Xenopus tropicalis: one gene and its partner. The protein of the gene in region 1 purifies or fractionates together with the protein of each later gene. This does not show direct contact. Links are inferred from orthologs where the notes say so. Each region holds a gene or a part of one and is shown in the gene's direction. Other genes may lie near its edges.

Region 1 (5,650 bases):
CATTGATGTACAGGTCATCACAATAAATCTGGTAGCTCCCTGCCTGCATGTTGTTAGTGTTGCTTGCATGAATATGTGTGGCTCCTTAAATATTTTCTCCTGGCAAAACATACCAGGGCCATGTGTATTGGTCGTAGAACCAAAGACAACAGACTGCAGTTTGAACTGTAATTGCTGTTCTACTCCTAAAGTCTCTGACCCTTTCTAAAGGCTACATTCATACAGGTACTGCTGTGCCTGAAATTCTCTCACCTGTGTACTGTACAAGTGTTGCTTTGTGAGAACCATAAAAAAGTAGTCCCTCCATGTATTAATCTATATAATGTTACTGTTTCTTTCCAGTGAGAAATAATATTCAACCATAAATTAAAGGAGAAGGAAAGGTAAAAACTAAATAAGCTTTATCAGAAAGGTCTATGTAAATACAGCCATAAACACTCACAGAAATGCTGCACTGACTTCTCTGTAAAAAGATTAGTTGTGTCTGTTTTCCTGTGCCACAGACACACAGCTTTCTGCTTCCTGCTCTCTCCTGCTCCCCCCTCCCTCAAGAATGCTAAGAACTCACTCCCCCCCCTTAGGAATGTGGATCTGAGCCAATCAGCAGGAAGCTGACTCATAGTCTAACTAACTAAGCATGTTCACTTGGTCCCGGTGTCTGTGCAGGAGCGAGGCATTATGGGAACTTTCTTTACACAACTCAGCATATTTTCTTCCTGTTTGGCTTTAGATCTTCTGAACAGGAGAAATATGGGGAGACTTAAGGGCACTATTAAGACAACTGAAAGTATGCCTGCAGCTTGAGATTAACTCTTTACTAGCCTTTCCTTCTCCTTTAAAGTGAATTAAATTAAAAAGTATTTCACATTTTGTTAAAGACAGCTGAAAGGGCATGCATGGTGTGTGTGAAAATGAAAATTAGGACTTCCAATGTCCATTGAAAATGCTCTTCAGGCTACAACTTGCACCAAATATGAAATAGCATTGGTCATTTGGGGACAATGTTCTCTTTCATTTTAGCTGTTCTGTGCTTTCTTGCAGTTGACTATGAATAATGATTTATATAGACAGTCTAACCACATTTGGATTTATCTCCCTCTCTGCTTACCTCTCTGATTATAGGAAGCAGCCTTTCAAAACAAGATTGGGCCATCCAGTGGCCAGCAACAGAATCAGGGAAGGAAAATAATCCTGTCACACAGCAGGAGACTGCCCAGTGGATACGAACCCACCTTTCCCAGAGCCCAAAAGTACAGTCTAAATGCATCCAGCACTACTGCCATTTGCCAGTGGCTCATGGGCCTATGTATACAAACGTTGATAGATTGACTGTTGAAGCCTACCCAGGCTTGTGCCAACTTTCTGAGACTGGGCATCGATCATTACCACCATCCCCGCGCCAGAGGCACACAGCACACAATAACCCACCACGAACACCTAACATAGTGACGACTATGACGCCTCCTGGTACACCCCCCGTAAGAAGAAAGAACAAACTTAAACCCCCAGGCACCCCTCCTCCTTCATCCCGAAAACTCATTCACCTCATACCTGGATTCACATCTCTGCATCGAAGCAAGTCCCATGAGTTCCAAGTAGGGCATCGAGTGGATGAATCTCATACTCCCAAGTAAGTCAAAGGTTATCTTATGTCTACATACCGAAGCATGATACTGAAATCATCTATCCCTCATACATAATAAAAGGCACTAAGTTTGTCAAGGAGCAGTAACCCATAGCAACCAATAAGATGTTTGCTTTTAAACATGTGACCAATAATTTTTAACTGCTGATTGGTTGCAATGGGTTACTGCTCCTGGACAAACTTAGTGCCTTTTTTTGCATAACCTCTTAAGCCTTGTTAGGACATGTTTAGTCGTCAAATAGTTGCAGTAATAGCTTTAAAATGCATTGGACCTAATTGTCAGAGGCCCCTGAAGTGCTTATTGTCCTGCTGTGTGTGTTTGTCTTAATAATAACCATTTTTAAAAGTATAATTTGATTCCATAAGAAGAATAGATGCTATAACATTATTATTAAACAATGGTATGTTCCTGTGTCCAAGCTCGGACAAAAACTATATTTTACAAGTTATTGCTGTTTCCAGTGAATCTTTGCCATTTCTTTTCACAACTAAAAATAAGTGTAATATATGTAAATGCAGTTGGATGATGCTCTCTCTATATATATACAGTATATATAGAAACTATATAATAATGTTCTGATGACATGAAGTTTTGTTGTAAAAATATGTTCATACACGTGCATACATACACATACAAACACACAAAGAGAGCTTTTAGTACTGCAGATATGTAGCTCAGATTTCCGGTTCATGTTGTGGATGGTCTCCATGAACAACAGATACAGCAGTGATGCCCTTTCATGTGAACTGGAGACCCGAGTATCCCAGCAAGCAGATGGGCTTCAGAATCATGAATTAATTTAAAAAATGATAAGCGGAGATGGGTAGGGAAAACAGGACCCCTTGTTCTGCAGCATAATGTAAACTCTGCTTCCTGGTCCTTGATTTAATATACAAATTGTCTGCTGTTTTGGAACATTTTTTCTGTTGTTAACCCTTAGGCCACATGTATAGATGTTAAAATTATAGTAAACTGTCTTATTTGTGCTTTTCAGTACCGATTTCATACCCAGGATTTTCTAGATATGGGGTGTTTTAAATCCTGCTTTTGAGCAATAACTCTCAAAGAAATCTTGCCTGTGTTCAGAAGCAGTGTATTTATAGGGGGTGGGGAGAGGCACATAGACATCACCCCTCCCAGTCCCTAACCATCCCCTAACTTGTGAGCCTGAATTAATTTCTTAAAAATGATTTCCTTTTTCTCTGTAATAATAAAACAATACCTTGTACTTGATCCCAACTAAAATACAACTTGGAGGCAAAGCATTCCTGTTGGGCTTAATTAATGTTTAAATGATTTTTCAGTAGACTTATGGTTCAGAGTTCCAAATTATGGTACGGCCCCTTATCTAGAAAACCCTAGGCCCCATGGACTCTGGAAAACAGGTCCCATACCTGTATAAGAATTCTGGGAACTACTTTCCTAACTCAAAGCATTATTTCATATATAAGTTTTAGAATGTTTTCAATGTACTTTAACTGTTCCATTTGATAAAATATAATGACCTTTTGACAAAAATATAACTTTTTAGTTACTAATTATTTGTGTGCATAGTTGATTTATAGAAATGTTATGGGTGATAAAACCAGAACATAAAAACAAAGTGAGCCCATGCCAGTAGCTGAATGAGAAGTTATAATGCGCTTAAGACACAGTCATTTATGCCCCACTGAGATTTTCTGTTATTAGAAGATGATTAATGTTATCAGAATCATTAACTAGGTACTGTATAGTTAACCTCAACAGGAAGCCCATCAGGAAATTCATGTCTCAATTTCTTTTCATTGACTACTAAAAGAGTAATAGATTTGTTATCCAGAGAGAAGGCTAAAGCGAGTAATCACTGGAGGTTCAAGAGGTTGACTTTTGTCTAGTACCAAAATACTCCATAAAAAATGTTATATTAAACAAATAATAAATACATGTAAATTGGTTTCTAATGGACATGTTTAGTTTTGCTGCATTCATTTTCCATCATCTAATAAGAAAAGGGTTTTAGTTTATTACTCGACAAAAACACCTACAGGAAACAAATAAGTTCAGAATGCATGTAAGAAATTGTTTTCCTATTAATCTCAAAAACCAATTAATCAACATTTATAAAGAGCAAAGGTAAACAGAATAACAAGCACTCGCAAGCTGTCTGAAACACAGGAGGCTGGTCAATGGCACTTCTTAGAAAACAGATACACAGCTAATTCTGTATCAGTGCTAATAAATTAATTCTAGGGAATCATATTATTAGTGGTCCAGGAAAAAAGACAGAACATAATGATTCATCAGTTTTCTACCGTTAATTAATTTTTTCAGCTATTTAAAAAATGGGCAAATGTAATAAAATGTGCAAAGTTTGCTTGTAGTCTAATCACCTATAGTTACAAATTGGCAGGAAGCATTTAGTGGCCAATGTGGCATAGTTCTAGTGACATGACTCCCTATCGGCAGATCCTGCGACTGCAGTGGTAACAGGGTTGCCCAGAAAGGGCTCATATCTTTCCTTTCTGCCTTCACCCATGCTGTCTGATCAATTTACTATCAGATGTGGGAGGAAGGGGATTGCAATAACTTAACATTGTGGGGGGGGCTCAAAGCATTTTTTTTACTGGGAGAGGGGGAGGAGGCAGGTAAAGTTAAGTTATGCCACCAGTTATTGCACCTGGGGAAGCCAAATGCATTTAATTACATATGGGGAATATTACCTACTTAACAGTTAGCATTGGGTCAAGTGGAAACCTCAACTGGATTGGACCTTTTGTGGGGGTAAAGAATATTTATTTTTGATAGGGGGTTGATAACACCTGTGTAAAGTACATTTTATTAAAAGGCAAATTAGGAAGAAAAAAAAAAAATTATTGCATTACAGTCACAGTATCAGTAGTTATAAGATATTTAAGATACATTAAGAAATCCATAGTTAAGCATCATAGGAAAAATAATTAACCAATATTTTTATTTGTTCAAGAGCTACGTACAATGGATGTTTCTAAAAGATGAGGTAAAATCAGGGGCCAGCTTTATGGTGGAACATTGAGGGCATTAGCTCTGCACCTTTAGAAGGGCTCTAAAATAAATGCCTACAATTTTTAGTGTTCATGTAGAATTATCCAACCTGCAGCCATCCCACAACCACCACTCATAGAATTCCCCTGATAGCCTTTGGCCTGGGCTTAAGGTTGGACATTATTCATTTTTCATATTTTTTTATCAAGTGGATGGGATTCCATACTTTCTGATTTTCCTGGGGCCCCATCTTTTTTTTACACTGGCCCTGGTCACAAATGACAAAAAAAAAAGGTGATGACAGAGTAACAAAATTTTTCCAGTATGTTCCTATAAAAGCTATTTTACTGCCTGTTGTGCTGTAACCACATTAAATCAACTCCTTTTAGTTTCAGGCTAAACAAGCGCAATGGTGCTTGTCAAACTCTTTATTTGATTTAAGTGCTGTCTCATTACATTTTATTCTTTCATTTCGCCAGATATAGCTGCTGCAATGAGCAAACACGAATGCACAGTGGCAGACTGCGGCATCGGAGAAGCAGGGGGCCAGTGTAACCCTGCCATGTTTGTGTACTGAAGGCTGTCCCGTGACATTTGCCTCTCACATGGCTACATTATTTATGATAATTGGCATACCCATGCCATCTGTTTATTTGAAAATATTGTATTGCCATTATTGCAACATTATCAACCTCGGCTGTGCACATCACTGCATGTGGTAATTACCCTGCTTTCTTTGGAGGGGGTGAGTATCACCCTATAGAGTGTCATTTAGTAGACTGGCTGCACAGTTATTGCCTACTGCTGGTATCTGGGTGCCAATGCAGCAAAAACACTTACTGATCATGAATCACAGAAGATTTGCTATTAAAGTATAACAATAATTTTGACATTCAAAAAAGACAGATATATAAAGTCTTTTCAGACTGATGAATTTAGATGGGCTTTTACTGTAGGTATTGTGGTGCAATGGAAATGTAATCACAGCACTGTAATTTATAGCA
Region 2 (5,148 bases), on another chromosome or scaffold:
TTTGAAGTTGCCCAGACATTGTAATGTTAATACTGAATCATTAGATGGGGTAAAGAATTCTTTTGTTTTTGGCTGCATATCTAACAATTCAGCTCTTATTGTTAGCATAGTGGATGAACGATTTTGCACAACAATGTGTAGCGTGTATGGCCAATTTTATAGGAAAAAAAATAGCTGACACATTCACAAGGCAATACAGAAACCTGTTATCAGCAATAGTGCCACAAAAAAGCCTTTAAGCTAGCCCACTGAATCTTAGAGCAACAAGTGCTGTGCAACTACCCATGATTCCAGTAGTTGGAATGCTTTATTTGTAAGCTTTTGTAAGTTGACTTGATTTTGTCAGTAGCCTTTCTCCATTATTATGAGGACCAGGAAGAGATACTCAAGGATACGGGAAAGTGGCAAGGCTATGGCCCCTACATAGGCCTATTCCCCTTGTCCAACATTAATTCAGTTGTGTTGAACATTCCTGTTTTTAATCATGAAAAAAGCATCACTTGCCTTTTTAGGGGTGGCTTACCAAGAGAGGGGTTTTGACGTGTGGGATTCTATTTCAGGTTGAGGCTGAGTTGAAATCTATCTGTAATGACATTCTGGATGTACTGGACAAGCACCTCATTCCAGCTGCAAACAGTGGAGAATCCAAGGTTTTTTACTATAAAATGTAAGCATTAACCAAATTGTTTGGGAATGTTCTTTTAAGTGTGAAATATGAAAGAAACGATTTGGTTAGGGCTGCATAGATTCATATTTTAATTTTTTTTATTCCGTTTTTGAATCTTGCACCTAAAGTGTGATTACATAGGAGTGCATGCTCCGTGCTTGATTCCAACTATCCAGTCACCGAGATCCAATTCATCGTAAAGCCTATAATTGTAACTGCAATAGTTTTCCTGAAACCTTTGTATTTTTACTATTTAGAGAACCATCAATTGTTTTTGGGCTTCATTTCTCCTATACCATTTCTTTCCTGATTTTAATTTAATTTTCATTTAATCCTGTTTGCACCCATATGGCACAGATTTTAACAGCTAAAATTAGACCTGATAGAAAGTAAATGGAAGATAGGGTGGAATATGGGCTGCAAAAAAAAAAAAGTTGCAGTCTTATCATAAAATCTAAGAAATGGGGTACTTTTTGGTGTCTTGACCCTAAACTATTGTCTTGACTAGAGAGAAAAACTGGGGACAAGCATAGCTTAATATCCTGTATGTTGAACAGGACTGTTGTCTCATTATATATATTTAATATTTTAAATGTAAAATAATTATTAAATAAGATTGCTTTGTTGCATAGTTTTACCTTTCTTGCTTTTTTCTTTTCACAGGAAAGGTGACTATCACCGATATCTGGCAGAGTTTGCTCAAGGCAATGACCGAAAGGAGGCTGCAGAGAACAGCTTGGTAGCTTACAAAGCTGCAAGTGATATTGCAATGACAGAACTTCCTCCAACACATCCAATTCGTTTAGGTCTTGCACTTAATTTCTCTGTGTTCTACTATGAAATTCTAAATTCCCCTGACCGTGCCTGCAGGTGAGTGTTTCAGTGTAAAACAGTACAGTATAAAGGGCAATCTAATGTATTGCTTTAATCTGTGCCTACAGTAAAATAGAACTGTAAGTTGTAATGCAGAGCAGAAGGGAGTGGGATAGAAGAGGTGATACTAGGAGGAAGGGATACCGTGGCTCTTACTGTGCTACTTTTCCCATGGTTATAATAACTCAAGATCAGTAGGTGTTGGCTGCCTTGAAGACTACAGTGTGAGGGACCATCTAGGATAAACTCTAAAGTGCTCAGTTATGGTTGAAAGTTCTTCTGAGCAGTAAGTCTTCTATTTTAGAAAGTCTTTTTGTATAACGATATTAACATAAAAGAGAGGGCTTGCTTAAGCTAATAGTACTTTGTTTTAAAGGTTGGCAAAAGCAGCATTTGATGATGCCATTGCAGAACTGGACACACTGAGTGAAGAAAGTTACAAAGACTCCACACTTATCATGCAATTGTTACGTGATAATCTGACACTATGGACTTCAGATATGCAAGGTGATGGTATGTACAATTTGCTTATTTTACAGAAAATAGCTTTATAAGCCTGGTTGTGTCCTTTCTTGCATATTATGCCACATCAGTGACCCCTTTCTGATCTTTTCAAGTCCCAGACTTTTATAGCAGGTTTATTGACTAAAATAGAAAACACTTTTTGCACCTTTTTTTCCCCATGCCTTTTATTGAAAACTACAGTTTACATTTCCAGGCTAAACAAGGTTTGATTTATTAAGATCGTCTCCTATCCTAGAAAAAGAGTGCATATTTGTAAAAAAAAAAAAAAATACTACTGTGTGCAATTTGGTGCCCACAAAAGCGGTTATAAGATAATGTAACATATCAGCTTAGGCTTTAAAACATTGTTCCAAGGCATTTATTCACAGGCCTTGCTTGCAGCTCCTGCCCTGTTGTGGATAAAATAAAGTAGGATATTTCATACTTTTTTTTAGATAAACGTAGCTGAGAACAACCCATTGTGCTTTGATACTTGACAATTTACTGTTATCCAGTATTTGTATAGTTTACTATTCAAGTACTCATTCATGGTTAACATTATTCCAGTTACTGCTCAGCATAGCCCAAATTACTAGGTTTTATCTGTCAGGTATTTTTTTTTTCCTTTTTTTTTTTTTTTTGGCATCTTAAATAAACACAAAAATAGGGCTCCACTGCATTATGAATGGTTCATATTGTGTGCAAAATAATATGCACTGTTTTGTGTAGCTTCACTTGCAGTGCTGTATCTTAAGTAATGAACCCCTATATTTACATGTATACGTTACTGCATGTTACAAGAAGGCCAAAACCCAGAAGGTTTATTTAATGTTTAAATAATTCAGTTGACCTAAGATCTCCAGAAAAACCCAGGACCAGAGCATACTGTATAACAGGTCCCACACTTGTGCCTTCTTTTTTTCTCAGGGAAAACATGGGACAATGCAGGTGGTCGGGTCTGTAGGTAAAATAAGTGCAAGTATTGTTAGGCAGTGCTAAAGGTGACTAGAGTTATTCATGTTAAAAGTTATAGGGAATATAAAAATCTGGAAGTTTAATTCATATGTCAGTCATTTTAGCTTTTATTCGTATACATGCTTTAACATCACTTTCACCCTTCATGTCCCCCCCATCCTTTCTGTGTAGATTCTTAAAAGGAAACACAGGTTCATTTCCTAAATATTCTTTGTAAGTTAATCCAGATGCATCTATAGTCTGCCTTGTTTTCCATCATAACCACTGCATTTTACATTGTGCTCTGTGCATCTGTGTTTACCTGTTTGTGGTGAAGACTTAACCCTTTTACTGTGCTTGAAAATGTTTACATTTCATTCCTTTCTGTGGTACCAGCAGTGCAGTTCAATTCCTTGGTGTGTGACAGTGACTTGTTCCACTCATTTGCTCTTGTGCCCAGTGAGCACAAAAAGGATTAAATGGCTGCATTATATTTCGGCTGGATGGTTGCAAATCATATTATTTTTATTTATTTTTTTAAACTAGTGAAGTTCCTTGCATGATGAAACCTTTGTGTTTTTATATATTTTTTCCAACAGTTATCCTACATGGAACAGTTCTTGTACACAGATATGTTTTTGCTTCACTCATTCAGTTATACCACAGGACTCTCTTAGAGGTTACAGAAGCTTGCTAATGTGTAGGCTAAAGTGATTACTCATGCTGGTTCATGCTCTAGCGCATAATTGGAAAACCCCCATTACTGCCCTAGTCTAGAGTCTCTTCTCTGGTGCCAAAAAACACATTTTAAACACATTTTACTGAAGAGCATCATTAAGAGTAATAATAATACTTAAAAATAAGCAGAAAGGAGGGGAAATATGCCTCTCTGTGACATGGACTTGTTCTGTTGGGTGCATAAATACTATCTGAACTTTAGAAATATACATTATTTTTCCTCAGATTGAGATAAAACCCATAATAGTCTGCCTCTGACTCGTTAGGAACTTTTTCCCAGGCCCCTTAAACTGGCTTTAACTTTAGGTTAGAGACAGTCTGGGAGGTGTCGGTAGTCGTTCCTCAGTGATACACAGATTGCTGCCATACTGGCCTTAACAGTGCACTGGTTTATTTGTTTCAGTTTCTCTTTCCTACTGTTCAGTTTGTTCTCTTGAATCATAGAAAAATCTAAAAAATTCAAATTGTTCTTGGTTTGCAGTGTATTTCTGTATCAATAATGCTTTTTTGCATAGTGATGTGAATCAGTGTCCCTAATTTGTTTTATGTAATGTGTGTAATTAACAGCTCTTCTCTCTAGAAAGTAACATTAAAGCTGTGCATGGAGATCTTAGGTGTGTGATCTAAACACGCATGTGGGCTTTTTATTTAGAATTTGATGCCTGCCAGCAACCGCTGTATATTCTGTGGGAACAGTTATTTGTAAAAAGAAAAGGGTATTTGTGTGTATATACCTGTATAGTACCCCCAGCCCACTGCAAGGCATTTTTAACCTAATATAAAAAAGTTTACATTGTTGAAGTAAAGGTCTCAGGGTTACTGAGATCTGCAAAGAAGCTATTATAGATCAAGGCAGCCAGATGGTTCCATACAAGATTTGGCCCAAAGCTTACCTGGCTTCATATTCTTTTATGCAAAATATAATTTTATCTAGCTGTCCGATATGTAGTTACTGAATTGCTATACTAAGGGGCACAGACCACCTCCCTAGTCCAACCACATCATTGTGCCCAGCTGGCTAATCACAAGCCCCTGAAAATGTTTCTATAAGCTTAAATGATCTTGGCTGCCCAGGTATATCAAGGTAAAAATGGATTCATGGGAGCTGTGCAGGATTGATGGGGATTTTAAAGGAACAGGAACACCAAAAAATGAAAGAGCTTTAAAGTAATAAAAATATAATGCACTGTTGCCCTGCACTGGTAAGACTGGTGTGTTTGCTTCAGTAACACTACTATAATTTATATAATAAGCTGCTGTGTAGCCACGGGGGCAGCCATTCAAGCTGGAAAAAGGAGAAAAGGCACAGGTTACATAGCAGATAACAGATAAGTTCTGTAGAATACAATAGTGTTTTATCTGTTATCTGCTATGTGCCTGTGCCTTTTCTCCTTTGAATGGCTGCCTCCATG

The links. Proteins that work in one complex are often made in the same cells at the same time.
Region 2: the proteins of ksr2 (region 1) and ywhae purify together in Homo sapiens (affinity purification with mass spectrometry; 3 studies listed by BioGRID and IntAct, with this or other methods). This does not show direct contact. The link is inferred for Xenopus tropicalis from reciprocal best matches to the Homo sapiens genes KSR2 and YWHAE.

Annotation. Positions count from the first base shown.
Region 1 is NC_030677.2:165,132,711-165,138,360, reverse strand, and holds part of ksr2 (kinase suppressor of Ras 2), read left to right. Parts: intron 1-1,122; coding exon 1,123-1,630; intron 1,631-5,650. UniProt on the Homo sapiens protein: Location-regulated scaffold connecting MEK to RAF. Has very low protein kinase activity and can phosphorylate MAP2K1 at several Ser and Thr residues with very low efficiency (in vitro).
Region 2 is NC_030678.2:46,049,172-46,054,319, reverse strand, and holds part of ywhae (14-3-3 protein epsilon), read left to right. Parts: intron 1-560; coding exon 561-667; intron 668-1,330; coding exon 1,331-1,537; intron 1,538-1,916; coding exon 1,917-2,053; intron 2,054-3,190; coding exon of another isoform or gene 3,191-3,198; exon of another isoform or gene 3,199-3,232; intron 3,233-5,148. UniProt on the Homo sapiens protein: Adapter protein implicated in the regulation of a large spectrum of both general and specialized signaling pathways. Binds to a large number of partners, usually by recognition of a phosphoserine or phosphothreonine motif.